4 linked regions of the Arabidopsis thaliana genome follow. The protein of the gene in region 4 interacts with the protein of the main gene of each other region in a pairwise test. Each region holds a gene or a part of one and is shown on either strand. Other genes may lie near its edges. The genes, in order: AT3G28220, AT4G38690, RAC6 and AT2G28960.

Evidence for each region.
Region 1: the proteins of AT2G28960 (region 4) and AT3G28220 interact in a protein complementation assay, tested with the Arabidopsis thaliana proteins (one large-scale study listed by BioGRID).
Region 2: the proteins of AT2G28960 (region 4) and AT4G38690 interact in a protein complementation assay, tested with the Arabidopsis thaliana proteins (one large-scale study listed by BioGRID).
Region 3: the proteins of AT2G28960 (region 4) and RAC6 interact in a protein complementation assay, tested with the Arabidopsis thaliana proteins (one large-scale study listed by BioGRID).

The regions. Positions count from the first base shown.
Region 1 is NC_003074.8:10,520,546-10,528,075, forward strand, and holds AT3G28220 (TRAF-like family protein), read left to right. Parts: upstream 1-3,635; 5' UTR 3,636-3,874; coding exon 3,875-4,215; intron 4,216-4,312; coding exon 4,313-4,485; intron 4,486-4,656; coding exon 4,657-4,939; intron 4,940-5,543; coding exon 5,544-5,701; intron 5,702-5,794; coding exon 5,795-5,952; 3' UTR 5,953-6,188; downstream 6,189-7,530. Other genes in the region: PMZ (zinc finger (AN1-like) family protein), read left to right, coding at 40-147, 226-678; AT3G28216 (uncharacterized protein), read right to left, coding at 2,733-2,879; AT3G28223 (F-box family protein), read right to left, coding at 7,124-7,530.
Region 2 is NC_003075.7:18,072,167-18,078,838, forward strand, and holds AT4G38690 (PLC-like phosphodiesterases superfamily protein), read right to left. Parts: upstream 3,792-6,672; 5' UTR 3,534-3,791; coding exon 2,577-3,533; 3' UTR 2,154-2,576; downstream 1-2,153. Other genes in the region: GRP2 (glycine rich protein 2), read right to left, coding at 74-685; AT4G38700 (Disease resistance-responsive (dirigent-like protein) family protein), read right to left, coding at 4,417-4,989; AT4G38710 (glycine-rich protein), read right to left, coding at 5,975-6,185, 6,381-6,419.
Region 3 is NC_003075.7:17,022,219-17,029,086, forward strand, and holds RAC6 (RAC-like 6), read right to left. Parts: upstream 3,649-6,868; 5' UTR 3,297-3,648; coding exon 3,198-3,296; intron 3,078-3,197; coding exon 2,990-3,077; intron 2,904-2,989; coding exon 2,794-2,903; intron 2,720-2,793; coding exon 2,656-2,719; intron 2,230-2,655; coding exon 2,165-2,229; intron 2,088-2,164; coding exon 2,022-2,087; intron 1,935-2,021; coding exon 1,833-1,934; 3' UTR 1,619-1,832; downstream 1-1,618. Other genes in the region: AT4G35940 (uncharacterized protein), read left to right, coding at 1-693, 813-1,375; APX5 (ascorbate peroxidase 5), read left to right, coding at 6,433-6,542, 6,626-6,750, 6,854-6,868. UniProt on the Arabidopsis thaliana protein: May be involved in cell polarity control during the actin-dependent tip growth of pollen tubes.
Region 4 is NC_003071.7:12,435,319-12,445,260, forward strand, and holds AT2G28960 (Leucine-rich repeat protein kinase family protein), read right to left. Parts: upstream 7,275-9,942; 5' UTR 7,030-7,274; coding exon 6,939-7,029; intron 6,633-6,938; coding exon 6,104-6,632; intron 6,010-6,103; coding exon 5,537-6,009; intron 5,196-5,536; coding exon 5,051-5,195; intron 4,955-5,050; coding exon 4,883-4,954; intron 4,696-4,882; coding exon 4,624-4,695; intron 4,521-4,623; coding exon 4,443-4,520; intron 4,364-4,442; coding exon 4,206-4,363; intron 4,102-4,205; coding exon 3,869-4,101; intron 3,793-3,868; coding exon 3,666-3,792; intron 3,568-3,665; coding exon 3,502-3,567; intron 3,426-3,501; coding exon 3,236-3,425; intron 3,149-3,235; coding exon 2,740-3,148; 3' UTR 2,400-2,739; downstream 1-2,399. Other genes in the region: AT2G28970 (Leucine-rich repeat protein kinase family protein), read left to right, coding at 8,601-8,670, 8,790-8,981, 9,271-9,325, 9,734-9,942.

The sequences.
Region 1 (7,530 bases), on a different chromosome or scaffold from region 4:
TAAGAAGAAAAAGAAGAAGAAGAAGAAGAAGAGAAGCTTATGGCAGGAGGAGGAACAGAAGCGTTTCCTGATCTTGGAGAGCATTGCCAAGACCCTGATTGCAAATTACTCGATTTTCTCCCTTTTACTTGCGACGGCTGCAAATTGGTAAGAGCTTTTTCTCAGAAACTTTCAATTTTTTTCTACAACTGAATGTTTCTTGATTGAGAAGTTTTGTGTGTGAAGGTGTTTTGTTTGGAGCATAGATCATACAAGTCACATAACTGTCCGAAATCCGATCATGGGAGCAGAACGGTTTCCATCTGTGAAACATGTTCAATAGCGATTGAAACAACTGGTTTTGATGAAAAAGGAATCAAATCTTTGCTTGAGAAACACGAAAGATCCGGAGATTGTGATCCAAACAAGAAAAAGAAACCAACGTGTCCTGTAAAACGTTGCAAAGAGATTCTGACTTTTGCGAATAACCTTACTTGCAAATATTGTGGAGTCAAGTTCTGTTTGAAACACCGGTTTCCGACAGATCATGTCTGTAACAAGAAGATCATTAATACCGCGGGAACAAGCTCGAGGTGGAACGAGAGGTTTATGGAAGCTTTGAGTTTAAGAAACCAGAAAGGGTGTGGAAGAGGGAGCTCTGTTTCATCAAAATCTTCACCATCAGTTAGATCGTTTTAGTTTCTTCTCTTGTAACAATAGTTTGCATCAACCAATTCCTTCTTTATGTTCTCATGTATTTTCCATTGTTTGCAAGAAAGAAGATTAATATTTTCATGAGTAATATTTCGTAAGAGAAGGAAGAAGAATGTTTTTATTAATATTAACTTCATTGGGAAGTTTCTTCTAAATTTTTAGATTCGGTTTTGGGTCCAATTTTTTGGGTCGGTTCCAATACTCAGTAAGAAGACTACTTAGAAAATGTAAATGTGGTGCAGTGTCTGTAATCTAGATTGCATATACATTGAAGAACCCAAAGATTGAATTGTTGTTCGTATGGCTTAAATGAGGTAATGCTGAAATCGATTTGTGAACAAAAGAGAATATGTGATTAATATCATTAACATAATACTCAATTTTGCTGTACGCTAATCGACATTTGTTTCAAATGGACCGATATAGCTATGGTTGAAGAGATGGAAGAGGTTGAGAGTGTTGTTTACAAGACACAAGTAGATGTGTGATCCTTAGAGAAAGGTTTATATGATGTGGGAGCTGAGATGGAGAGTCTAGCAGGTGAGACACGCACATGTGTGACCATATCAAGTAGCTATGGAAATGAGATTGAAGTCATCAAAGCATTTTTAAAAGGATGTGAGAAGGAGATTGGAGAGCTCAAAGCCATGAACTTTTGTAGTAAGAAAGAGATTCAATCTCGACGTTACTTCAAAAATTTTATCGGGTGTAGTTTAGTTATGGTTTGTAGTCTATGTTTTCATCTTTTAAGTATGAAAAGTTAGTATGAGTTTGTTGAGTTAAGAGTTCTGATTGTATTTTATTGGATTGAGTTTGAGTTTCAATTGAAAGTTGTTGTTTGGGTTTTACATAACACAAACATTGGGCCTTAATGGGCCAACGAAATTGGCAAGGTGAAGAAGAACAAAATGTGGGCAAAAGTTTGTTGCTCATTTAAGTCACCTATATATGCATTACAACGTACGACGTATAGTGGAGGTAGGTGAGAAAAGAATCTAAAAAGAGTTCTAGAGAAGAGAGATAAAAGAGCTTCCTAAACAAGCTTTCTTCTTCCTCTTTGTTGTTCTTGAATCTTTGTTCTTCTTGAGTGCAAATCTGTAAAACCAAAAGACATCATCACAAGTTAGTGAAGCTTGGGAGCAAGAGATCTCCCCCGAGACCCCGAGACGTAGCGGTTGAGGCCGTGAACTCGGTTACCAATTTCTGTGTCTGTTTATTTTCTTACCAAGCAATCTCTATCACTCTTTTCTCCACAAAAGTAATGAATAAATAACATAATAATGTTGTATATAACATACCAAACCCGAGGCAATTACAAGACAAAAACCATTATCCTACAAATTAAAAATTCAAGACAAATAGCCAAAAACCATAATCTATATCTTGAAGCCGAGATCATAGTCAAAACCATCATCCCATCATGTTACACATAAATCCGATAATCCAAATTAAAACCATCATCCTGAACATCATAAGTTTCCCAAACCAAAAGCTTTTACACAATTAATCACTAAGTGAAATTTGTGATACTTGATTCGGACCTTGATAAGAATGAAAGTGTAATCCTTTGTATTTCTTATCTATCAATCCAATTACAAAGAATCAAAACCCTAATCGATAAGCTTGAAGTTACAGTTCTCCAATCTTATCTCCTAAGAACAGAGCACATGCATAAGCCCTAATTCTACTCACAACATCAATATGATCACGAAGGATGCTTTTCTCTCTACTCTCTCTTAGACTCTTACTATTTATAAGTTTCTTCACACGTGACTCCGATCTCTCACTTCAGTTCTCACACGTGCCAACTTCTCATGAACGTATCAGACCTTCACCAAGTTGTTTTGTGGCCGACTTTTAGCTTGGATTCCAACATTAAAAATGTCATTCTCATCATCACCTCCTCTAACATCATTTCCATCATCACAAACTCGAGCATTCTCACCATTGACGTTTTCACAAGCTCTTTTCATCATTACATTCTTCAAGAATCTATTCCTTCTCCGTAAATATAACAACCGCTTTTGTCCACTTTGCAGCTAGACACATTCTCTCGAAAATATCATCTCTAGTATACAACGGTTCAGCTCTATAAACTTCTCAAAAGGAAGCTTATACCGTATCCTTTGCCCAAACAAAGACAATCCCACCGACTCCATCATGTTATTAAAAAAATTTTCTTGCATGCACACAAGTGTGTGAATCTGGCCTCCATCATATGTAAAAACATTACCGTCTGTACAAACAAAAAAAACTATTTTTGGCGAAAAAATTATCGTCGAAATATTGTTGGTAGGAAAAACACAATTTTATTTTGTTAACTTTAAACATTAAAAAAATAAGGATATATGGTTATTAAAAATTAAAAGAGAGTAATGAAAATGAATTACATGAAAGGGTAGAATTAAAAATGAGTAGCATTGGAAGGTCATTCCTAATAATTTATTTATTATAAATTCTAGATATTTATAAAATAAAAACTCAAATATTATTATATATTATACTATAAATTAATAAAAAATATTTTCTACAAATAAAAACATTTTTTAAAAATTAATTATTAAGCATTTAATCGATAGTTTTGATACGTATATAATAAAATATAGTTTTTAGTCTTTGTATTGATTACTGAAGTTCTACATTATAGCTAAAGCTAAAGCTAAATCCAAAAACAGAGGCTAGGATCGGAACAGAAGAACAAAACTATGTTGTGGTGTAGAGCGTTTGGGTCCATTTCTTGTTGTTAGCTAAAGCTATGTCTGGAGTGTTTGACGTTACATGCTAAATTTAGGTACAACTTAAACTTTTGTCTTTTTCTTGAAAACACGTGTTGAACAAATCTTTTCTGGTCGATAACTCAAGAAATCTTATCTGGTCGCAATCCATCTTATACCGACGTGAAATCTCAAGACACGTGAATATATAACTTGTTCATAATAACATTATCACTTTTATCGAACGCACAAAAGATCCTCCGCTATAAATATTTGTGGTGAAGAACTCTTTATACCAAACAAAAAAAGCTAAATACCAAATAAATGTTGGTACTCATCATACATATATAACTAACTCACCTTTTTGGTGTGTAGATAAATATATCTAACTAACTCCATTACATATTCCAGTCATTTGCTTATAAATTATAACCGTCACACTTACCAATTCAGTCACTTAACCAAACATGTCTGAAAAGGGGTTGATAAAAAAAGAAGACCACATGTTTCAAGAGGAGAAGAGAAAGACAAACTATGGAGCAATTGGCTTGGCTTGCTTCATTTCTTGTTTCTTTGCATTCCAATTCATGAAAATCGTAACAACACAACCTTCAACAACAACAACATCATCCATTGCCGTTATCGATAGCCCAATGTCCTCCCATAAGCTATCTGATAGGAGAGAAATATGGAGAGTTATCCCACCATCTACCTATTGTCTCAAAATCGAATCTTTCATAAAATTCGCCACTTCTCCAAACGCCGAGAAGTACGAATCCCGTCCTTTTGAATCCGGTGGATACAACTGGTAAGTAGTATTTTATCCTACATTTTGCATATGTCTTTGCATCACAAATTTTCAACGACACATTTGATTGTAAGACTATATATCCTTTTGCAAACAGGACACTTATTGTCTATCCTAAAGGAAACATTAAGGAAGGAGCTCCACTTAATTACGTTTCAATGTACGTCCAAATAGACAATTCAACACTCCTTAACTCTCCAAAAGAAGTTTACGCAGAAGTCAAATTCTTCATTTATAACCGGAAAGAGGACAAGTACTTAACATATCAAGGTATATACATCCGAACGCCCTATTTATATCTTATTTATAAACTATATTGTATTAATCAAATTTTCAACGTTTAAATTTAAAACAATTGAGACGCTGATAGTTTGCATAGTTTCAAATGCCAAAATTTGCATTTAAAAACACACAATCTCAAACGCATGTCTTGGTACACAGAGACGGATGCAAAACGCTTTTTTCTGTTCAAACCATATTGGGGATATGGTAATGTTAGACCCTACACCGACGTGGCTAATCCCAATGCTGGTTGGCTTTTCGACGGTGACAATGTTTTATTCGGTGTGGACGTATTTGTCACTGAAGTTTTTAACAAATGGGAAGTGTTCTCATTCACTAAGAGTTTGCATGACCGCCTTTACAAATGGACGTTACCCAATTTCTCGTCACTAGAGAAACAGTACTATGTCTCTGACAAGTTCGTGATCGGTGGGAGAAGCTGGTGAGTTCCTCATGTCATAAATTCTTTAAGCCACATATTGATACTTAGTCCTGGATGTTCGGTTATCCATTCCGTTATCGGTTTTTTCGGTTCTAAAGTTATTATCTATTTGGTTATTTTGAAATTTCGGTTTGGTTCTTTCGGTTTTAAATTTAGTATCCATTCCGTTATTTTGATTTGAATATTTTCGGATATTTTAATTATTTTTGGATATTTCGGTTATTTTTGGATATTTTTGATTATTTTTGAATATTTTAACTATTTTATATATATTTTTAATTATTTAGTTTAAAAATAACTAATATTTTTAATTATTTAGTTTAAAAATAACTAATATTTTTGGAAATATATTTATATTTCAGATATTTTGGTTATCCGGGATATTTTGGTACGTAGCCATTTAGTTTCGGTTCTTTCGGTTCTTTCGGTTATATATAGAATTTAGTATCCATTTGATTATTTTTTAATTTTTGATTCCGTTCGATTCTGTTATTTTGTTTCGATTTTAGTTCGGTACATTCGATTAGGTTTATTTGCGCAGGCTTACTAATACTGATTCAAGAAAAAATTAACTATTTACAATATTTTAATATACAACTCTTAGGGCTTTGAAAGTGTATCCAAGTGGCGATGGCGAAGGACAGGGTAACTCGTTGTCGTTATATGTTGTTGCGGTTGATGTTAAGCCGTATGACAAGATTTACCTAAAAGCTAAGCTACGGATTATAAACCAGAGAGATTCTAAACACATGGAGAAGAAAGGTAAATTATATCGAACCATAATAGTGTGGCTAATGTTACTTACTCTATTAATTTTTTTCTTTTAGAGTTTAATTAACACTAACTTAATGACAGTTGAAAGCTGGTCGGATCAAGCAAACAGTTGGGGATTCCAGAAGTTTGTACCATTTGCTGATCTTAAGGATACTTCTAAAGGTCTTCTTGTGAATGATACATTGAAGATGGAGATTGAATTTGAAGATTTCTCTAACACAAAATACTTTCCAAGTTAAGTTTTGCATAATGCAAAACCAGAGAGCTTGGAACCAATTGTGTTCTGTTTTTTAAGTGTTTTTGTGCTAATAATTGGAGGATTGGTCTTCCTAAGGTTTAGGAGCCTATCTCCCACTTTTCCCAATTCCCTAGTTTGTAGAAATCGTTGATTCCAAGCTAGCTTTTCTTGTACTTGTTTCCTATTTAAATAAATGAAAACTAAGAATAAAAGCAGTCTTAATTTACCATTGAAAAACTCTTGTTCTTACTTCATTCTAGCTGCGACTAAGACTAACACTAACCGTGGAATAACACTTCTAAAATCAACCGAATAAGTTTGCGCGTATGATAGTAATTTGAAATAATAACAAGCTTTGCGCACCAACAATAAACATCGATCATGTTCTTAAGTTTCACGAGTGCTTCTTTGTTATTTGCTCTCTTTCATCTGTTTGTTACTCTATTATTTCTCTGGTTATGTAGTGTATATAATACATATAGATCTACCAAGCAATTCATAATGTATAATATATCTGCCATGTATACTCTATGTAAATTAAGCTATGTAACCAATCCATACTCTTCTTTCATTGTATTTTTAACAATCATCAATAAGCAAATCAAAATTACCAATATCTAATACAACTCGTTCCTTTTAGGAAATAAATAAGAAGCAAAGAAAATACTCTCTACTAGTTGATGAAGGCTTGGAAGGGAGATGACAAAACGTACGTAGCAAATCAAAGAGGAAAATCCAACCCTATCCACACAGTTTTTGGCTCTTTGCTTGCATCACAAGTCACAAAGACACATTGATTCTAAAACCATTCATTTGGAAACAGAACACTTATTGATTATCCTAAAGGAAACTAAAGAAGGGAGCTCCAACTCTGGATGGTTTTAACTTTACGTCCAAATAGACAATTCAAGATTCCTTAACTATCCTAAAGAAGTTTAGGTTAATAAAAAAGTTTTGCTCTTCCTACAATCTCTAGTGTTATCAAAATCTCATAAAAAAATTGTAGACAAAATAAAAATAAAAAATATAAGCCGCTGATGTTAAGCCCTACGACAAGATTTACATAAAAGTTAAGCTACAAATCCTCAGCCAAAACGATTCTAAACATGTATAGAGAAGAAAGGTAAATAATATCAGAAACATAACAGTTTGAGTAATTACTGCTTACTTTGTTAAGTTGCCCTTTTCCGTAATCTTATTCGCATTCGAAGCTTGTCGGTTGGAGGCGAGGAAGGGATCCGATGCAGCCAATGCGGGAGAGCAAACCTGGAGAAACATGGGTTAAAGAGGTGTTCAAACGGGCTCCAGTCTCCAGCAAAGCTCATAATGCGACCATCGCTACTATATTCCAACTTCTTGTGACGCCGAAACTTGCCTTTGAGCAAGCTAGTAGATACTAAACATTTATGCATCTCACTCCACAAATACATTTTATTAGCATCAAAAGGGTTTATTGCCAACGGAAAGTAATCTAAACCACTCTTGATACAAGCCGGAGATATTTCAGATACTATTTCCCATTTCCCACTCTTTAACCTCCATACACATAACTTAAGCCCTAAACTTCCATCATCTTTTT
Region 2 (6,672 bases), on a different chromosome or scaffold from region 4:
GCGGCGGGAGAAAGAACCGATCACTTGTGAGATAACCAACTCACTCTTCTCCACCGCGTAACCGGCGTTGGTTTTAACGTCCACCGCTGGTGCAATCCCTGGCGAAATGTCCCGACTCGCCACAGCTGTAGCAGCTTCCCCCGCCGCCACCACCTCCACGGCCACCACCTCCGTAACCACCACCTCCTCCGCCGTATCCGCCTCCACCTCCGTAGCCACCGCCGCCTCCTCCGTAACCTCCACCGCCTTCAGAACAGTCTCTCGCCATGTGACCGGGCTCACCACACTTGTAGCAGTCGCTGCCTCCTCGACCACCACCTCCTCTTCCTCCGTATCCACCACCGCCACCGCCGTATCCACCTCCAGATCCGCGTCCACCTCCTCTTCCTCCACCGAAACCGCCGCGTCCGCCAGATGAACCACCACCGCTGTTTCCTTGGACGGGAGCGCCGTCGGGTCCAGAAACATCGATGGCCTTGGGACGGTTGTTGTTGTCGATCTCAACCTCGAACTCTACGGCTTCTTCGGCAGCGAGGCTACGGAAACCCTCAGATCTGATGGAGGACTGGTGAACGAAGAGATCGTCGCCACCGTCGTCAGGAGTGATGAAGCCGAAACCCTTCTGGGTATCAAACCACTTGACGGAGCCTTTGCGCCTCTCACCACCGCCGTTGTCTCCGCTCATTTTGATTGGAATCTCTTAATAACTCACTTTTTTCTCTAAATCTTTAAAAAAAACGAAACCCTAGAAAATACTCTGAAATCTCTCTCTCCTCGCAGCTGCTGTTTATATGCGTATAGGAAGGGTGTGGCAAGGGTATGACTGCCACGTCACCCACCCCAATTCATTTTTTCCTTGTTTCCAAGAGGAAATAAAATAAATGTTTTTATTTAGATCTCTATTTCTATATATGTTTGTTCGATTTTTGTCTATTTTTCTAAATTGCCTTCAAAAAAAACATCTGCACATTCCGAATTGTATATTCGAGCGTGATATTAAAATAAAAAATCTCGCGATTAAGATACCCAGAAAATTAAAAAAACATAAATTTCGTTGATTTCGAAAATGAATCTGCAACTAAAATATTAAAAGAAAGAAAAGTAAGTTAAAAAAGAAAAGAGGAGTTAGAAAATGGGCCAGCATGTGATAAGGCTTAAATTGATTAATCCATTTCGGGAAAGAGAATGGATCATTGGCCCAGCAAGCAGTTGCATCTGGACGGTTGGGGTGTTTTTCACGAGGGATATCAGCCGTCAGATTCTGATTTTAGATCTGAAAAGCTAGCTCTCTGGGGAATAGAGAAACAAAGATCAATTAATTTATTTTTATTTTTTTACTTTGTATGTTGTATTTTATTTTTTGTTGCAGTCAACAACAACATTAAAGAATGACATGCAACGTCAGCAACTGGTCAATATACTCTTTTCAAAATTTTCTCAATCTTGTGGTCAAAATAAGCATTAACTGTTGTTCCACTTTCCACGTACATTTTATGAGGCAGATTCACAAATTTTACCAAACAGTATGATAATTGTATGAAGTAATTTGAGAAGACTATTGACCGCAAAGAGATTGTCCTTTGTTGGATATCGATTTTTGAGTATCGATTACAAAACTAAATTACCAAGTAATTAATTTATAAGAGAAATAGAAAATGAGTAAAATTTAAAAATTATTGAGAGATAGAAAATAGATCCCTTTAAATTTAGCTTATAATTCGAAAAATGTGCATGTTTTTATCTTAATCACTTACCGTGAGAAAGTATAGGAGTAAAATGATGTTATCGTAAAGTGCCAAACAACAAATCAAACTTGTGCTTAGCAAAAAAAAAAAAAAAAAAAAAACTGGTATCATTTGAGAACATGACTTAAAACGCAGCCGTTTAAATAAAAAAAGTTGGTTTCTCTGCATCCCATGTCTAGAGTCTAGAAGAGTGGTCTCGCTGCCGATCTCAGCAGGGAGAATAATTTGGCTCGGCTCAATCACTCTTGTGGATCAAATGCTCTTCTTCTTCTTCTTTTGTGTTTCAAGTCTTGAGAAGAAATCTAATCTCAAATTATTAGGATTTTGCACCATGTTTCCATCATCTCAGTTTATAGATATAATCAAATAATGAAATTATAGAGATGCATTGTGTCATTAGCTACTGATATGAATTCTAGCATAACTGATTCTATTATCTTTTTGTTCTTGAAGATCACAGTAGTGTGTAATAAAAAGGGGCATTGCTGCAGAAATATAGTCATCTCTCAGGTTAGCAGCTCTCTTTCACTTGTTAAAACTAGATTTTACCATCAACTGTATACTTCTTCCTTCTGTTTTGCCTGTCTATCAACTACAACATCTGCAAAAGTATCAGAAATTAATAGTAATGAAGAGTTTGGATATCTCGCAATTGTATCAGGATTCAAATAAGTTGTAATGAATTGGAATATACACTCGTAAATCACACACACATACAAATACACACTCACATGTTCTCTTATACACAAGCAACCCTAAAACACATCAACCATGTTCTGATTCTTTTCCTTCAAAATAGATACACAAAGTCTGTCTCCACACGCTCATTCCTCAGGCCTTACCTTCAGCTCTCGCAAAGGTGAGCCCAACGCAAGCATCAACAAATTCATTATCTATGAAATCAGTTGAGAATATCTGCAGTTTATCAGCACATCCTCTTTTTACACACTCTATGATGAATACCTTGGCGTAGCAATGTATCCTCTTAGTCACCGGTTTTACACACATTATTGGGTTATCGGGCTGCGGCGTCACTGTGTTCTCCACCCGGTAAAAGAATTTCCTTGAAGTAGCTGGTTGCTGCTGGCTCAAATGCTTGATGTTGCTCTCGAATTTGGTCGATGGAAGATCTGTATCGATCCAATTGTCTTTAAGGTAACCAGCGCTCCAAAGAGGATCACCATGCTTAGGCTGAGGCGATTTCCTCGGTTTCCAAACGCAGATCACTCTCTTGGGAAGCAGCTCAGCGACTGTCTTGGAGAACACGTGATCGTCCTGGTGAATCAGATGCTCTCCAAGCTGTTCCACAAGATACTTATCAAACTCCGGTGGGTCTTCGTGTCCAAACTCTGTTCTGATCTCAAGAATGACAATCTCCGACTCTGTTTCGGATAGAAACCGTTTGAGATCGGCCAAGACAACGTCGACACTATAAGTCTTGAGGATACCGTGGCATACACGGCGATCTTCTTGGACACGAATGTCAAGGACTCGAGTACCCGCCACGAGCTGGTTATAGATGGAGAGAGATTGGCACTTAGCAAAGGGACGAGACACGAATCGGATACCGATTTTGTTGGTGGCAGAGTCGTGCGTCCCAGGCCAGACGATCTTGTTGATGTGAAGCTTTTCAGGTCCAACGCCGGCCATCCAGTTTTTACGATCGGAAGGCATGTAATCACACCCCGGAAACTCGCAGCCGCACGATTTCTCGAGATCGGTGAGGGCTTTCTTCTCCGTGGAGATGGCTTTTCGCCGCTCGAGTTGTTTGGAAAGGTGAGAGCCCATTGCTGAGGATTAACCCTTTCCCTTTGCTCTCTCTTCTCTGATCACTATATTGAATTCTGTTCTCTCTTGTTTATAAAATGTTCCATGCCTTCTTTATCAATAAACCTTTACTCATAAGTCGTTATGATTGTTTTTTATTTACTTATTATTGGTTTGAAGAAGTTACGAATTATACGTTAATCTTTTAATAATTACGCTACTTTCTCAAAACACCGTTGACATATTCGCAAATTAGAAGTAACTTTCAACTTTTAACTTAACAAAAACCATAGAAAAAAAGTAGTAGCGTTTAATATGTAAGATTAACTGTTACAATTTTTATTGTGGGAACATTTTAGTGTTATAAATGTGAACTGATTGATTAGTTGAGATATATTGAAAGAGTGGTTGAGTTGTAATTGATGGGAGAGTGGGTTTACAATGTATGGTAGGTCCATTTTTGTTGTATAGCTGTCTTCACTGTTTGTTATTTGTCAATTTCTAATGCCTGGCTATTTTCCGACGTGAAAGATATCAATACAACGTGATTTTTATTTCTTGGAAGACACATATTCAAATTTTCTATGAAATAAAAGTCGTTCCTAAAATTTAAACAAGGCATCGATAATTAATATTTTGGATAAAATTCGGATAGGATCCGATGGAAAACCAATCATATACACTCACAGGCCCTATCATGTCTTTTGTAAGACTATCTCAAATATCACGATCCACACAACTAAGATATGTAAAAGAGATTACTAGTATAGATTTTGGGAATTGAGAAGAAAGATTGCAACATAATTAATCAATTTTGATCTCTTGATCATGCAAAATTCAGTTTTGATCTGAATAATTGATTTAGTTGGCCTTTTTATTGTTTTAATCGGAACATATGAATCGGTTAATAATGATAAACAGTAGCATCATATCGGAGAACAGCATCACCAGTCTTCATGTCAATCTTATTTGTTTTTACTTTGACAAAACCTCTCGCCATTCTGAATTTCCCACGGCCACCAACAATCGCGATTTCTCGCTCTCCGACCTCTTCCGCCACCGGATTCCTCGAGAAGATACTGATCGAGCTTCCATTAAACTTCCCTGCCGTGAAAGCCAAATCAGCGTACATGACGATCGTGAATTTGCTCAAGTCTTTGCACCCGGAGACATACATCCCTTGACCATTCCCGATCTCTTTCGAGTGTTTCTCCGGCCCGACGGTGAGCGGATCGTCTATCACAAACAGGCTTCCAAAACCTACCGGCGAAGCTGAGCCACCGGTTAGATTTGCATGTGCGATTCTAACGGCGGTAGGATTTTGGCCACTGAGAGTATCATGGAGATAAAATCTGACACGTGTCACTTTCTCCTCATTCAGTTTAGCCGGTTTGGTGTTGCCATAGTAGGATTCGTGACGCGCCATAACGGCCATGCTCAAACAGAGTGTGAAAAATATTATTAATGTGCTCTTCATAATTTATAAACTTAAGGAATTGATATGAAAGTTTACTATCCAAATGAATCTAGAACATATATATATATATATAGTTTGATCACTTGTAATTTTAGGAATGTTTACAGGAAAAAGATTTTCTCCTATAAAAAGAGGGTATATGTCATTATTTAGAAAATCTATTTGATATTTTTCTATATAACAAAAAGAAAATAGTAAATGCATATGATCCAGGTATTAACTTTGAAAATTTTCTGTCTGATATTGATGATATGTTCAAAATTGTAATAGTGTTTGACAACTTTGAAAACATGTAAAGAGATTTAATTATTTTAGAAAATTATGATTCTAAAAAGCTTTGAGATTCTGCCAAATAACTAGCATAAACTTTATTCGAGGTAAGGATATGTACCACGCGCACCTTAGGAGCGTTGAGCGCGTGTTATCAAAATGGGTAAGCTATATAGTCCAGCCAAAATGCCTATTTTTGATCAATTTTAATATATTCCCAGCTCTAAAGCGCGTGGTATTATCATATTCCCCGTCCCACTACATTCTGTGTGTTTGTACAGGTTGGATTTATTCCTCACCACATATATCTTAAGTGGACTGCACCGATCAAGAAGATTATAGAATACGGGCCAGATCTGATACTGGGTCGGGTTAAGTTGGGCCAATTGGGCTCTTAATAACAAACATCACTCTCTCTACGCACCATTGATCACTGATCAACTAAACGCTCCCAAATTCAAAGACAGATTTAAACCAATAATGAAATTGTACAACTCGTAAAAAATAAAAGACACCCCAAAACCCTAAAAATTGCAACAGAGTATGTGGTAAAAAAAAGAGACAGAGAGATATTATAAAAAAAAAGACCCTACCAAAATTTTCTCTAGAGTTCCCCCACACAACTTAACTTATCCAAATTAAACAACACAAATTCTCAGAAGCTAAACTTCAAGAACCCAAACTATCACAATCCACAAAAATGCCTTTTGACTCTTTAGATTTTGTCCTCCGTCTCTTCCTTCTTTGCCTCTTCTACAGCCGGTTCGCCACCAGTCTCTTCCTTCTTAGCCTCTTCTACAGCCTGTTCACCCTCAGTTTCTTCCTTCTTAGCCTCTTCTACAGCCGGTTTGTCCTCAGTCTCTTCCTTCTTTGCCCCTTCTACAGCTGGTTCCTCCTCTTGAGCATCCTCCTCAGAATGCTCCGTGCTTCAATGTTCAAAGACAAAATAATTTAAGAGTAAGAAACATGCTTACAAAATTTACAACTTCCCACAATACTCAACAACACTAACTAAAAAACCCATTACCATCACGCAGAAAGAGAAAAACAGAGCTCTCTAAACATGGGATGCCAGATCAAAAAAACAAAACAGAAAGAGAGATCCAATCTTTCAGCTTCACTTCAAGACATCAACTTCCATGTATGAATGTAGAGAAAAACTAATAACACCAAATTTAACATATTAACTACTATACTAATGCAGTGATCCATAACACATGAATGATCATCCAAAATCTCACTGTTTATAGCATATATATGAATCCCTATCTCCCACAATATACACAATTTCTTAGACCCATGTCAATAATTTCCACAGACAGTAAGAGATCAATACTTTGCCCGACTAAGATGGTATAATCAGAAAACAAGCAGGCAAACTAAAGAAACGAATCAACCAAGTTTTATTATAGT
Region 3 (6,868 bases), on a different chromosome or scaffold from region 4:
CTAAGAAAGAACAAAGGAGGAAGGATAGAAGAAGTGATAAGAAGGATAAAAAAGATAAGAAGGAGAGGAAGGAGAAGAAGGAGAAGAAGGAGAAAAAGAGGAAGGAGAGGGAAGGAAAGGAAGTTGGAAGCGAAAAGCGCAGTCATAAGAGACGGCGTAAAGAAGACGGTGCTAAAGTTGATCTTTTTCACAAACTAAAAGAAAGTGAAGTCAATTGTTTGGAGAAGAGCAGCCTTACTGTAGAACGTGAGCTGCTTCAGTCGACGTCCCAAAACTCTTGTGATAGCACTCTTAACAGCAATGAGATGTTACCGAAGCAGAAGGAGGTCCAGCAGCCTCTCGATGGTAGACATAACAACAACAACAACGAGAAGCGTGTGGAGAAGCAGCAGCCTCTCGATGGTAGACATAACAACAACAACGAGAAGCGTGTGGAGAAGCAGCAGCCTCTCGATGGTAGACATAACAACAACAACGAGAAGCGGATTGAGAAGCAGCAGCCTCTCAATGGTAGACATAACAACAACAACGAAAAGCTGATGGAGAAGCAGCAGCCTCTCAATGGTAGACATAACAACAACAACGAGAAGCGGATTGAGAAGCAGCAGCCTCTCAATGGTAGACATAACAACAAGGAGAAGCAGAAAGAGAAACAGCAGCCTCTCGATGTTAGACATAACAACAACGACTCTGGTGAGTTTGTTTGTGTTTCTTCCTTCCCCGGGGAAGGATCTTGTATTCTTGTTGGGTCTAATTACCTTATCAGGACATTGATGACATTCTTTCTTCAAATTGTTGATATGAATTTGAAGAAAGCATCATTCGGATTCGATTGCCTATTCGAAGGCAGAAAGATCCCGAGGTGATGATGACCAATAAGGATCAAGAAAAACCAGGTCCTTCTCGGGGAATAAAGTTAGACTCGTCCCAACTTCCTACTAGAGAGCCGGTTAATCAACATCCTTGTTCCACTTCTGCAGCAGAACATGCTTCGAAGCCACGAGAAGAGAAAAGGAAAGATCCCATTTTTAGAGGGAAACACGGTAAAGAGAAGATATCCTCATCCTCTACTCGAGAAACTTATCAACCTCCTAAAAGCCTATGCAATTGCCCTCCATCCATGGTGTTGCAATTCTTGGACGTAGTTGAGAATTGGGTCCCTAACACGATCGAGAGAAGAGTAGACCTCATTAACTCTGAAGATGAAGAATGTTGGTGGTCCATGAAGAAGCCGCCAAGTAGCACCACAGAAATATGCAAACAACTTAATAGAGAGAATGAGATCAAGCAAGTAGGCAATACAATGGGGTGGCCATGTGCTCGCCTTTTACCAGAAGCTGATGTCTACGCCTTACCTTACACAGTCCCGTTCTGATAACATCAAAGAGCAGGAAGTTTTTAACAAGGAATCTGGTCGAGACATCCATGTTCTGGACCAGACAGTTTTTTGGTTTAGCCTTAAAATTCCAAGGTTGTATAAGAAGAACACACTGTTTGTTATTCTTTGCGGTTGGTAACCAATATAGTAATATCAGTATTTCGTCTCAATCTCTCTTGTTCTTATAATAATAGAATGAGAAATCGAAATGGAATTTTCATGTGAAGTGGATTAGTAACATTATCACAATTGATAAAACATTTGTAAATAACTAGACAAGCTTTCTCGGCTATCAGTTAAAATAGAAGTTGAATTAACCTCACAATTCGTTTTGTACGGAACTAAGAGATCACAAATGAAAACGGAAAACAACAACAAAAATGAAAAAGCGATACTTTTTTAAACCACCCTGTCATCCTCATCTCAAAGAGCTTCTTGACTTCCATGAGTGCTATTACAAGATGGAGCAGGCCTTTTGTGCTTTGTTCTTCTTTTTCTTCTGCTTTGGAGGTTGAAGGACCACTCTGATCGCTGCATCAAACACGCCCTTCACGTTCTGCAGTTATAGTCACATTGTTTTCATCAAAAGATGAAGAATCCAACACCGAAAAGATGATTCATGAGATGTCTTTTATTCGTTTACCTCTTGTGATTTTGAACTGCACTCGATGTAAGCTGGCGCTCCAATTAGCTTCTTCAGCTCCTCTCCCTTCCATGCAGAGAGGGAAAATGCTTAACGGTGGTAAAGCTGATAAAATTGCACTGAGGAAATAACTGTATTCTTACCTGAACAGTGGTAATAGGGACAGCACCAGGATGGTCGATGAAAAACTGTTTGTCATCTCGAAGATCTGACAACAACCAAGGTTAGACAATCAAAAAGGCCAGGATCATGAGTTGACTGAAGATCTTGCAAGTGTCTTTTATAAAGGTATACACTTGCTATACAGTAGCTATTTCATTGGAGGATGCTTAAAGGCGTGTGTTATAGGATATGGTTGCTTTATCACAAGAAGTGCAAGATACAAGAAGAAGCCTGTTGACCAATGATATTCTCTGAAAACTACCCTCAGTTTCACCTAACGAATACATCTTGAACATGTACAAGTTTTAACCACAATCAAGAGAAGGTGAAGTTTTATGTCCACTAATGTCATGATATATTATACCAGAGCAGCTTAATAAAGTGAAAAGGAAAATGGCAGTGTAAGCATGGGAATCAGACATATATATAAATAAATGCATAAACAAGGACAAATGTGAGAGGAGGAAGTAACCTAGTTTGGTTCCAACAAGGACAATTGGGACACCAGGAGCATAGTGCTTCAACTCAGGAATCCACTGTAAAAGAAAAGAAGCATCAAAATTTGGAACTCTCAATTGTTAAATAGTCGACCAGTTCGGACGAAACTGACCTTCTTGGAAACATTCTCATAACTAGCCTTACTAATGAGAGAGAAGGCAAGAATGAAAACATCAGCACCACGGTAACTCAAAGGTCTTAATCTGTTATAGTCCTCTTGCCCTGCATAAACCAAAAACATAATTTCGACCGATTCATCAAGGAAAGCTCTCTCACCAAGGATTATGAATTGGATCATCATTCATTACCTGCAGTATCCCACAATCCAAGATTCACCGTGGCTCCATTAACAACCACATTTGCACTAAAGTTATCGAAAACAGTCGGAACATAATCCTGTTCCAATGGAAATGTATACAACATTTTTAGTATGTATGGATCCCAATTCATATATGGCACAATCAGAATCAAATGAATCAGATATCAAAAAAAGGAGGGAGAATGATTGATGAATACCGTGGGAAAGGTGTTGCTGGTATAAGAAATCAGCAAACAGGTTTTACCAACAGCTCCATCACCAACGGTGACGCACTTTATGAACCTTGATGCGCTCATTGCCTCTTCTTCTTCTTCTTCGAGCCAAAATATGTCACAATTTACCAAAAAACAAAAGAGATCAACCTCAGATTTAAACCTGAGGAAGCCAGAAACACCCACAATGTGAAGCCAATTCCTCCGAAACTTCGACCATTATCTTTCAATTAACCATCTCAAAACCCTAGATATGTATAATGTGGAAACAAACCCCCCAAATAGAGAAAATCAGAAATGTGAAGAAGGAAGGAAGATGAATAAACAAAAGGGAACGTGAGGACGATGAATTGGAGGATGCGAGAGAGAGAGAGAACAACAACTAGAGAGAGAAAGAAAGAAGTAGAGAAGAAAGTGATGGCCGGAAATAATTGCCATTGAAGCGTTCGATTAATCTCAGCCATTCAACCTTCCGACTGTTTTGCAATCTTTTTACTTTTTTTACTTCTTCTGTTGTCTTTTAAATAATTACTATTTTACTTCTTCTTCTTTTTTCTGTTTGATTTTTTAGTGTATATTCAAATTAATTTATTTATCTTGTATACAAAAAAGTAAAATAAAGGAGTTGCACATAATGTATTTTGTCTTTGTTGTTTAAAATGCAAATAAGAAAAATTAACACTGGCTAAAATTATACGTGTTTTTAACTGTCTGTAAAATTTCTAGTACGATTTGTTTTACTATTCTAATTCATTTTTTTACTAGTTTTTCCGGATGCTCACCAAATGTGAAAAAATCTCTAAGTTATGATTCAATATTTATGAAACCAATCAGCCAATTGCGGTACAATAAAGTTGTAATGCACTAGTTCTTCCGCATACTCGCCAAATTTATGTTAAAATTTCAAGGATGTTTGATGATATTGAATGTGGTTAGTTGAATTTGCATGTTGGCTAGTGAGAATGTGGTGTATGGACCAAACCTGAACTTATTTGTATGTCAACAAAGTGTGGTAATATTTTCTGCCAAAAATTGCAATAATCTCAACTAACAAATATTTTACCGAGTATGTAAAATGTCAACATTGGTCATATTTGCCTTTCGTGAGGAAAGATGTCTATGCTAATGAACTTATTCGGGTCAACGTAACCTTCCTTGATAAGAAAACCTGCGACAGCGAGAACAAAAACGTTAAGAGTTGGGAATCTTTCACAAACCATGTAATTAATTTGTCGGAAAAAGTTAGCATTTGAAAATGTTCAAAGTAAAAGTTTTTATTTGATGTGTGTACGATGATACAATCACAGTTTTGATAAACCAGGATTCGTGGAGTTGGAATCAGTTTTATCAAATCAACATTCCAAAATTACTAACAAGTTTGAAAATATGCAATGACAAAAAATCATAAAAATCATAAATACACGAGCTACATATGGATGAATGAGAGAGTTAATCTATAAAATCCGACCAAATAACTCACCAAGTCTACGATTTATTATATGGCTTTTAACAGAGTAACGACTGAGAGAGACATATAAGAAGAGCATTGATGAAACTAACCCTGAACATCACGGCGAGTAGTCAACTGGAAGTCCAAGATGATACCCCGGCGCAACAAGCCCGCTATCACCGCCAAAGGTTGCCGTGGATCGTTTGTCGTGACTGTGACGGATCATTTATCTCTTCTCTCTCTCACCTGTAATTGTCAGAAACAGTTTAGATGGCAGAAATTTCTCAAAGATAAATTACACTATAATAACTCTCTTTAACATTATGACTACAATTCCCAAAATCAAGATGTTTCAGAAAATACACGGCTCAATTCGTCAAACAAAAAGGAGAAACATCAGATTCTTACCAAACCCTAAAGCAGAGTCTCAAAGCAGAGTTCTTGATTACGATGATAGTATATAATGAAATCACGGGGAAATTGGGTGAACGCTCTCTGTTTTTCTTTCTTTGCGTTGGTTGTAGTGAAGCTTGATGAGCCTTCCATTTCTAGCTATTTGCTTGGAGAGAAACCTGCAAGAACACTCGAAAAAGAAAACAGAGGAAGATGTGAGTTTAGACAAAGTGAAAATAGTATGATGCGTAAAACTGAAACTGACGAAACTTTAGTGAGAAGAATAGACCATGAAAGTGTTTCGATCAACAACATAAGTCGTAGAAAAGTAAGGAAACATCTAAGAATTCTTACCAATCTTAAAAGCAGAGTTCGGCTAGTGACTACGAGAAACCTTGGACGAACTTTGTTGAGAGGAATGAAACTTGCTCTCGATTAACTTTGGATGAACTTTGAGCTCTCTGACTCTCTCTCTCTTTGGTTTTTCAACTAGAAAAAAGACTTTTGCTTTCTGAAACTACGAGAATAGTAAGCGATTATACAGAAGAAGAAATGATTGTGGGAAGTAAGTGAGTGAGCACGAGCCACTTATATAGGCAGCTTCGGATTTCTTCTTTCAACGGCTACTTTTCTAACGTCTATATTTTCTTACCGTTGTAAATTTTGCGTCTCAAATAAGTTACCGTTTGTGCATGAGGTGACAATTGACTTGACAGGTTGACACCGAGATGAAAATTACACAACAACAAAAACTAGAAGCATTCATAATAAGCCCAATGGGCCAATAGAGACCCAACCAAAACCCCAAACCAACAAAAAATTAAGGACACTGTTCGTCATTAGTGGATAATTAATATTTTAGTGTAACACCTTCACAACGATCGTCTCTCAAGGTCAAATAGTAACTTAGTAAGTAGCCCTCTTGATACGAAGTAGGAACCAAAACGCTTGTCTTTATGGATTAGAATGTTTGTCATATCTTGTTCAAAACTAAAAATGTCTAAAAGTTATCTTGTTTTTATTTGTTATTACAATAACGAAATCATTTCAATCAAATTGATCTCAAACAACCAATGTAGTTTAGTGTTAGGTAGAATCTTCTTCCGAGATAGTTATGCCCCAGCTCTGCTTGCGACGGGATGGTAACTAAAACTTTTGAATAAACTATAGTTGCATAGATGAAAAATTGAATATATGCGAAGATTAGCAAAAGGGTTCTCCCATAACTATATTTAATACTTTGCTTTCTCCATATGACAAAACATTCTTCTCCCCTAAACTCTTCTTCAATCCTATTTATATATTCATCCTTCTGAGTCATTCTTCAATCTTATTCATCGGTCTGAGTTATTTTGCTTGCTCTTTGAAATTCTGACAATGGCAGTGAACGTTGATGCAGAGTACCTCAAAGAGATAGAGAAAACTCGTAGAGACCTTCGAGCTCTCATCTCTTCCAGAAACTGTGCTCCCATTATGCTCCGTCTTGCGTAAGATCTTTGCTCTCAGAATCATTCTCCGTTTTTCTTTCTTGTCTTGATGTTTCCAAATGCCAACTCTTCTGTGCATATAGATGGCATGATGCAGGAACCTATGATGCCAAGAAGAAAACCGGAGGTGCCAATGGATCTATCAGATTCAAGGAAGAGCTAAACCGTCCACACAACAAAGGTTTGGAGAAGGCAGTCGCCTTCTGCGGTGAGTTTTATGATTAAACCTTCTAATCCGTTACTACTACTCTTCAGGACCTGCAAGCGGTTGCTGTCTCCTTTGATGTCTAAATTTTGGTTTCTAATTTCAGAGGAAGTAAAGGCTA
Region 4 (9,942 bases):
AATGGATAAAACTGAAACAAATGAATTACTATTTTGAAAAATGTTTTAATGCATCGTTAATCTATGTTGTTTTTCATATCTACTCTATTTTTTTTTCAGTCACTAATTTTAAATATTAATTCAACTAATACTCATATACGTACAAAATCAGACATGTGTGGTTTGGTAAGAGTAGGACTATACATACCATCTAGAATTGAGATAGATTGACTAACAAAAGGAGATAACCTAATAATATGCAAACATTGTCACATTTTATATCATCTTATACTTAAAAAACAAACCCATCTTTGACGAATTTAGCCTCGAGTGAGTATGTAATATGTATGATTGAAGAAGGCTAGGATTGGATGATGAGTGATGACTAACATAAGGGACCACCACATGGAATCCTATCAAGTGTACTTGTCCGACGTATAACTTTGGGACCCTTTTGATTACCGTAATCACCGGAGCATGTAAACCGGTGAATCTTTGTTTAAACTGAAACATTAAAATTACTACATAATAAGCTCACCACCTAAAAAACGAAACTAATGTTAATACTTTAATGTTTCTTGAAATCCAAAGACAAATTGAGAAAAATACTGAATTCTCGAGCCGCACGCGCCAAAACAATGCCAATATCTCTGTTTTGTTAATGGTGGCTCTTTTATTTTCTTTCATTATGGCTAAAAGCATAATGCTTTTTTGACATCTAAAAATGTTTGCTGAACATGTTGTGGAGCCTATTGTAATTTTAGTAACAGGAAGAACACTGTAGTTTGAAAAATCACATGGTTCTATCATAAAAGCATTGTTTTAAAAAGAAGTTTAAATGGTCTATATGATGTTATATATGCATCAACATATGGTAGCAAGTATTTTCTAAGTGTTAGGGTTTAGTGGTTTTGTTATTAAACGGCTTTAAGAACATTAGGTAGATCTAGACAACTTTCAATTTATCGTCGAAACTTTGAAATATTTTAAGTTTATTATGAATCATAATATCTTTATAATATTATCAGAAATTAGCTAAATTTTTTTTTTTATTTAAGCACTTAAACCGCCTACATGTATCTAGGCTCCAATTAAACATTAGATATTGGATTCTAGTTTTTTTTAACACTACTTAAAAGAATAATAAGCTTTTACCATTGCAAGAAAATAGAACATAGAAATTGTATTTGGTAAAGAAAACCCAAAATGGTTGGAGCTTGTGAAACCACTGGCTACTACTCTTCAAGACTTCTCCAACCTCCCATGTGATCATCTCGACAACACTTAAATCCGAAGTCTTACCAAATCATAAAAGTAACTAAACTACGTGGACCATTGGCGTATGGCTACGTACCCAAATCGTGAAAATTTTCTTCGTAGAGGTTTTACGAATCCAATGCGGTAGTCCCCACCCTATGAAACTGTGTCTCACCATGTGATTACACCAAATCATATCTGACTCTAACATAGATAGCTTTAACAATTATATCATTCATTCTATTTTATTGTTATTAGTGATCAGTTCTGTTATTGTTTCAGATATTTTGACTGGCTAACTGTTTACAGCAAACAAGAAACTGATATAGACCTTTTAAAAAAAAACTAAGTTAACAGTTTTGTTTTGGAAACATTAAAGCTTTCAAATTGCGAATAACACTTTCTCACATAGTGCATTTTCGTTCTGACGTTTAACGTAATGCTTATATGATAAGAAAAAGAAAATATTCAAGTTTTTTGTTGGTAAAGAGACATTGAATAGGCAGAAGACGTTGCTATAAACTGAACCAACCATTTTCAACTTGTTCACACACATAACCGTTTTCGCATTAATAGAAAGAAATCAAAATAAATATGCTCTCATTAATCCTCTTACAAACATGGAACCCGGATCCTGCTATGGAAAATTATATATGTTGAATGTTCTAGTAACTAATGTGACCGTAACTAGCCTGATAAGCTTATGCAAAAAAAAAAAAACAGCTTATGCAAAATCATGGCATGTGAGTAGGCGAAAACTTATACAAATACAATCAAAATAATGTGATATTAATATAGGTATGTTTACATATCTCGTGAATTGATATCCAATGGACCTGCAAGATTTTCATCTAATATAACTTTCATTTTACGAAGAAAATTATACTTTGGAATTTGATGTGAGTCGTGAACTAGTCGTCTTTCTTACTTTTTATGATTATGAATCCTAACTTCTTGGTCCAACCTATATATATACAAAGATTTCATACCGAAAGTCAAATATATGATATTATGGAGATGTACTATGTGAACAACAAATGTATAATTATGAGACTGGTCCAGAGAAACATTAGATGGAAGCAGATTTGTAGTCCATGGACCAAAAGAACTAGTCCAAAACTTGATAATTATCAAACAAAAGTTTTTGATCAATTACAAAAGGAGTTAGGGAAGCATGTAACATAAACAATGACAACATATTTTGGATCAGTGAGCATATATAAACAATAAAAATACCATAATCCGATGAAAAAAATCATCAGAGATTTGCAAAAGAATCATTTATGATGGATCACCGCCAAAACACACACAAGGCCACAACCAACATAAAACCAAACCAAACCAAACCAAACAAAACATCCACACTAATATCACATACGACCACAATCACAAGTAAATACAATGAAGTCGTACAAATAAATGACCACCAAAAATTATATTTTTGTAAAGTAAGTCAGGGAAATCCAAAATCCTTAATAACCATGGGATTTTTTTTGGCACAAGTTATCGTGCTTTTGGGTTAATTTCGGTTGTAAAGCTTGTGCTCATTTCAACAGAACTTCTTGATCCCATGTCTTCTCTCACTCCTCGCTTTGAGTTTTCTAATGTTAGACATTGCTTTAGTTCATTAGTAACTTGAGACATGGTTGGTCTTTTCTCCGAAGAAGGATTCACGCAAGACATTGCTATCTCAAGAGCCTTCCAAACAGAAGTAGGCTCATAATCTCTATTGAGTCTTGGATCCACAACGTTCTCAATATCTCCCTTAGTAAGCATGTATCCCACCCATGCTGCTATGTGCGGCTTCTCTCGGGTTTGCTGAATCACAGGTCGACTTGTGATGATCTCCAATAATACAATCCCAAAGCTATATACATCACTCTTTTCGTTCAACCTATTTGTTCGATAATATCTACAAACAAAACATGAAGTATTTTTTTTTTCAAATGAATGAGGAAAAACAATTTGAATCAAACTAGTTTGGTGATGTAAAACTTACTCGGGATCCAAATATCCAGGAGTTCCAGCAACAGCTGTTGAAACATGAGTTTCACCTCCAACTGGAAATGATCTTGAAAGGCCAAAATCGGCGAGTTTTGCTTGGAAGTGTTCGTCTAAAAGTATATTTGTTGTTTTTACATCACGATGTACCATTGGAGGTTTGCAACCCGTATGCAAGTATTCTAATCCTATATTTATATAATTAAATTGTTCATGTTAGATGATCCATATAAAGTGATTAATGCATTTGAGCTAAGAACGAACCTTGCGCAGTTTCGACGACAATTTTTAGTCTACTTGACCACTTCAATGGAGAGCCACCCCGTTCTCCTATAATTAAGAAACTTTTAGTAATGTTATAAAAGCATGAACATTAAAATATGGCTAAGTAATCACTATTTTAAAATGTGGGAAATTCAAATTTATACCTGATAGATGTTGTTTTAAGTCTCCGTTCGGTGCATACTCATAAAGCAGGGCCAAGTTGCTTTCTTCATCACAATATCCAACCAAACTAACCAAATTGACGTGGTGCACTCTCAAAAGAAGTTCAACCTGACCACCCATGTCCAAACAAATTTAAGAGCCATCACATGTTACAATATATTCCATGTATTATGTATTAACATACCTCAGCTTTGAATTCCTTATAGCCTTGTACTGATGATTGAGAGAGTAGTTTAACAGCTATTGGTTGCGTACCATTTAAAATACCATGATACACTACCCCAAACCCTCCTTCTCCAAGAACTCTTTCAAAATTATCTGTTAATGCTTCTACCTCTGAATAAGTGAACCTTTTCGTTTGAGTAAATATAGACGGTCTATTTGGTAACCCATGTTGCACTGTAGGTAATGAATCAACTGTCACAACCAAAAAGTTCCATGAGATTAGGCATCTTTTGGTATGTCATCATCATGCATGCATGTTACGATAAGAATATATATCTCATTGTATAATTATGTACCTTGCGTTGGCCTTCTCTTTTTGAAAACAAGAATGAGAATCAGTACGGCTATAATGATGAGCACAGAAGCTACTGACGCAACAACTGGTACAATGTACGTTTGATTGTTATTATTTTTGCATGACGCATCGTTACACAACTTTGGGTTTCCTTGGATCCTTAAGAAAATAAGTGTTGTTGAATAAGACTATAGGTTGAGGAAAGTTGATAAAAAAAAAAGAAGGGTGAAAATCTTACGTTAGCTTAAGCCCATTCTTTTCTCTATCAAGAAGCAATTTAGGAAGAGGACCCGTAAGGTCATTCCAATTTAAATTTCTGTCAAGGTAAACACAAAATTACAATGTCAATGTAAAGTGACAACAAGTATACCTAGTGAAATATAAGTGGCCGGCCATTATGTTTGTTTATATCAACTTACATGATCGATAATGACTTCATGCTGGCTAGAAACTCGGGCACTCCTCCAGTAAAACTATTATTTGACAAGTCTCTAGTATTTATAAAACGTTAAAAAGTCAATCTATTTTCCGTTAATAGGATAAATAAAAAAATAGTATGAGATGAGATATTTTTTTTCGTCCAATTTGTTATAAGATGTGAAAAATTAGAAATATGTTGGTCACAATATAAATGTTTTCTCATGGATCGCGTTTAAGTAAAATACTAATAGCTCTTACAGTTTTCGAAGCTCGGTCAAATTTTGGAAGGCAGGCGCAATGACCCCTTTTAACCCTCGTGATGACAAATCTCTGTTCACAATATAAGAACATTTTTTCAGATATAAGATACTTAAGACTTAAGAGATTTAGGTTTCAATATGCTTATGAGATATATAATGATCGTACAAAGAAATAATTCTTGGAGGAGTAGACTTATTTGTGTAGCTGCATTTTAGATCTTCCCACTTTAATAGTTCAGGGACACAAGGATCTCCTTGCCAACTAATCATCTTCAATCCATAAAATGCTTCGATATCCTTCATAGCAGCGACTAACATAATGGTTCGAGGAGGAAGCCAAGAATTAGCATATAAAAGATTAAAGTTTCTTAATGAGGGTATGTACTAAATAAACAAAAATTCCACCCTATTATTTGCAAAAAAAAAAAAGATTAAGTTGGTTCATTTATCGCGCTATTTTTAACAAATATCATGTCATATTTCATAACACAATTTTTAACATGGTAGTACAATATTTCAAATTAAACACGATAAACACATGAATATTTTCTCCGTTTTGTGACCATTATTTTTCCCCCAATTTTGTGATTGTTTTTTTTTTTTTTGCAAATAAGCCCTTTCTTACAGAATAGAGAATGGAATAGTGGCGTACCGTCATTTGGATTTGTTTCAGCGTATGGAAAGTCCACAACCTTGAAAGCCTCAATAGCACTAATCAGCGGTGGAAGAGTTGACCTTGGAGTTCTAACGAGTTTCAAGTAGCACAACCCGGAGCTACATTTGTGAGGTGATAGGTTATATTTGGTATCTGATTGTAACATCGTAGGACTATATGCTGACTGAATAATATCTTCTTCCAATTCAATGTCGAATTCTCTAGTCTCATTGCCCCTCAAAGCTTGGATTTCGGCAAAGTGAAAGTACACGTTAACCTTGTCACTGTCGTCATCTAGAGACACGTAAAATCTCAATGGCAAGCTGGCATTTTCGGGCGTGATTCCCATCCTACTTACAGCTTCTGGTACTTGAAAGGGACTCGAGGATCTCACGTTGAGGGTGGTGTTCACATCCGTTTCAAATTCATTATATCGGTCCCATTTGCGATCAAAAATATCATCAGGATACCTAAAACCATTTTTGGAGTAGCCATGCAAAAGTAAATGAATCATGTTAGATTGTTTTTTTTTATAAAAGAGTTGCTAAAGTTGAGTTTACATACCGTATAAAACCGGTAGAATTGCTACTATAGGCCCGCCGGTAGATGAGGTCTAAGGGACCGAATTGAGTCAAATATGAATCATTTCTTAGTGGCCGTAGTTCCAAGGTTGATATCATTGGTATAGTTGATCCTGTTTTGACAAGACAAATCTGCAATAAGTTCGACGTTGTCATGTAAATGATCTCACGATCTTTTCCGAATTCCAAATCAACCGCAATCCACATGTTAGGCCCAACATGTAAATCAAATTTGGGATATACATTAAGACCATCATAATTTCCATATCCGAACCCTGCTCTTATCAAATAGTTGATGCCTTGCTCTACTTTCAGATTATAGCAGTTTCGTATTCCATCGGGAAAATATCTCAAATCCTTGTACTGCCTGTAGATATATGTGTTATCATCCCCAGCTTCACCACGTAAACCACTTAAAATAAAATCAGCATCAGATGAGAATGTTAATCCGGTTCGTGGGTCGGTATAAGGAGACTCATTAACGGGTAAACCGCAATCCAAACTGATGAATCCTGGCAAGATACAAAATGTATTATTAGTGAAAAATAATGTTTTCCTTTTGTTAGACCATGAAGCTTATAAGGAAGACAATCAAAAGTTTTGGAAAACAGAGAATCCTTTATTTTCTTTAACCAAATCTCTTATATCTGTAATCGTTAATATTATTTTCATGGTGGCTATGCGTACAACAAAGTAGAAATCGGTTAGTGATCTCGACCAGTCGAGCAAGAACACTCAACTACTTGGCTAATCCTTAAGTCTTTATGTGTCAAAAACTGAACATGAAGCAATTATTAAAAAAAGGTATATAGAGAAACCTCGTTGATCAGGCGGCTGAGCTTGAACAAGATGTGTAATGGCCAAAGCCCCAAAGATGAACACCAGTAAACGTTGACGACGACCTTCCATTTTCAAGTTAAGTTAACATACAAATTTTTGAAACCAAAGACAATCTGAAATATATGATACAATATATTGATTTTCTAGTACAAATGATAGAAATACTTTAGATGAAGATCAATTAAAATCCAAAACACATGTTGGCGTGGAATACTCTCCAATTATAGATTCATATCCAAGCACGACTGAAGAATGGTCTAACAAAGATATATACATTTATATTCCACTTTGTGGAAAAAAGAGAGCAATTTAATCATAAATCAAAGCACCTGATGTAATCTTTGTTTAAACAATGTAAAACCTGCCAAGTTGATCTAATGTCAAAGCTTTATAAACTATATGATAATTCTGCTAACGACTTGTACTTAACAACAACTTGGTGGATTTAATACATTTTGTTGACTTTCACTCAATTATAATCGCAATACCTCTGCAATAATGTAAAATTCTTGGTCTTCAAAAATAAACTAAGATTAGTCTTTTCTTGACAAACCCTAATATTCGTTTTGTTTGCCTGTATATGCATTATCTATCTATGGCTTACTCATAGACGTTAAGAGATAGCTGGCCTCTTATAGTTATAGCTCATATTCTCAGTATTACTATACATTGTCAACCAAGAAATTCTACATCAACCTTTGTTAATATCCCTTGTTAGGTGGGATTTAGTGGGAAAAGAGATCAAACCTTATTTTGGAAAGATCATTTCCAAACGCTACTGGACCATTATCCACTTGGTTCACAATTTGCTTTTTTAATGGAGCTTTGACAATCGGAAACTGTATGTGTTAACTATATAAAAATATTAATTATGTGATAATTCTTATTTTTTATTGTTGCTTTTTTAACAAGTTTGTAATAGTTAAAGTGTGGTTGTAAATATATTTTTAAAATTTAGTACTGGCTACCTTGATGCACATTATTTGTATAAATACCTGAGTTTGTAAGAAGCAAATCATTGAATCAAACAAAATGATCTTTATCTTTATTTTTTCCTGTCCATGTTGTAATATACGAATTCTCTCTTTTACATAATTATTCTACAACAAGTTACATAAGTTACGTCTATAATTATTGTGGATCAGACGTAATGTTTCTTTATGTGAATCAGACGTAATGTTTCAAATAGGTTGTAATATGTAATTGTTTTTCATATGTAGTAAATCCTTTTTTGTAACGACCGGGTTCAAACTAATTACTTAAATCAAACCTTGTTATATCCTTGTGCTCCAAGTCTAACGATCAATCGAAGATTTATTATGTTTGGTCAAGGGTTTAAAGAAGACATATACAAACCTTAATACAAGGAAATTCCTATACATGTCGGAGTCTTATGATCATAACCTATTATTTTAAACACAAGTTGGGGTTGGAACATGTCAAAGAAATTCACACAATAAACCAAAAATAAAGCAATTCTCGCAATTATTCAATCTTCATGTCTGGCTTAAGTTGACTTTCTTTAATGTATTATTCCTTCCAATCTGTGTATGTGAGGTATTTCTCATTTACGTAGCTCCTTGTTTTCACTAAGCAAGTCTTTTTTATGTTCTTGATTTCCATATTAGCTTTCCAAGAAGATGATGAGCCATCTTTTGTTGGCCATAATTGGAACCTTTGCCGTTATAGTTGGCGCCCAAAAACAAGAAGGTAATAATTTATAAACTCTTTAGTAGATATTCACCGAGGATCATCCATCCTTTAAATTGATATATCTTCTATATATAGTTTTTTTTTAAACTTCGTCGATCCTTTTTATGCTTGAACAGGTTTCATCAGTTTGGATTGCGGATTTCCTATTGAGGAATCTCCTTATAGTGATCCATCTACTGGATTAACATTCACATCAGATTCAACATTTATCCAGACTGGAGAAAGTGGTAGAGTCGATAAAGAGCTCAACAAAATATTCCGAAAACCATATTTGACTCTAAGATACTTTCCGGAAGGAAAGCGTAATTGTTAGTCTGAATGTCACTCGTGGCACAAATTATCTTATATTGGTTACCTTCATATATGGAAATTATGATGGTCTTAATATTTATCCAAACTTTGATCTCTATCTTGGTCCTGATAAGTGGGCAAGAATAGATATGGAAGGAAGACAAAATGGTACATTCGAGGAGATCATACACAGAGTGAGGTCAAGCTCTTTGGATATTTGTCTTGTTAAAACAGGACCAACCTCGCCAATAATATCATCTATAGAACTACGACCAATGAGAAATGATACTTATCTTACGCATTCAGGCTCACTGAGGAACTCTTTCCGGGTTCATTGCAGCACTTCTGATAGCGAAATAAGGTAATTAGTTGACTTTGTTTAAAACAATAAGTGGGAGTTTTCTGTCATTAATCATACATGGCATCAATTTTCTTATACATAAATTATTGTACTTTTGGTTAGTATATAAACATCGTTATTCATGATTAACTTGGATAAAAAAAAACAAGTTGCAACTATCACCGCACGACATGTTTTGTTTTAATCAATTTTCTACATTTTTTTTTTTGTTATTTATTATCAAACTATCATATCGTTATACAATTTTTTTAAACATGTAAACAAAAATGATTCGTGTATGAAATAAATGTAGTTTGCATTGAGATTAGATTTGTGTGTGTCAGCTATTTTTTTTCTATTTAAATCGGTTTTAACAAATAACAAGGATTGATTTGCTTAATTATGCTGCCTAATGCAATTTATTTGCAGGTATGATGATGACTCCTATGATCGTGTCTGGTATCCATTCTTCAGCTCTTCGTTTAGCTATATAACGACTAGTCTCAATATAAACAATTCAGATACATTTGAGATACCAAAAGCTGCACTCAAAAGTGCTGCCACGCCTAAAAACGCTAGTGCACCGCTAATCATAACTTGGAAACCAAGACCCTCTAACGCTGAAGTTTACTTCTATC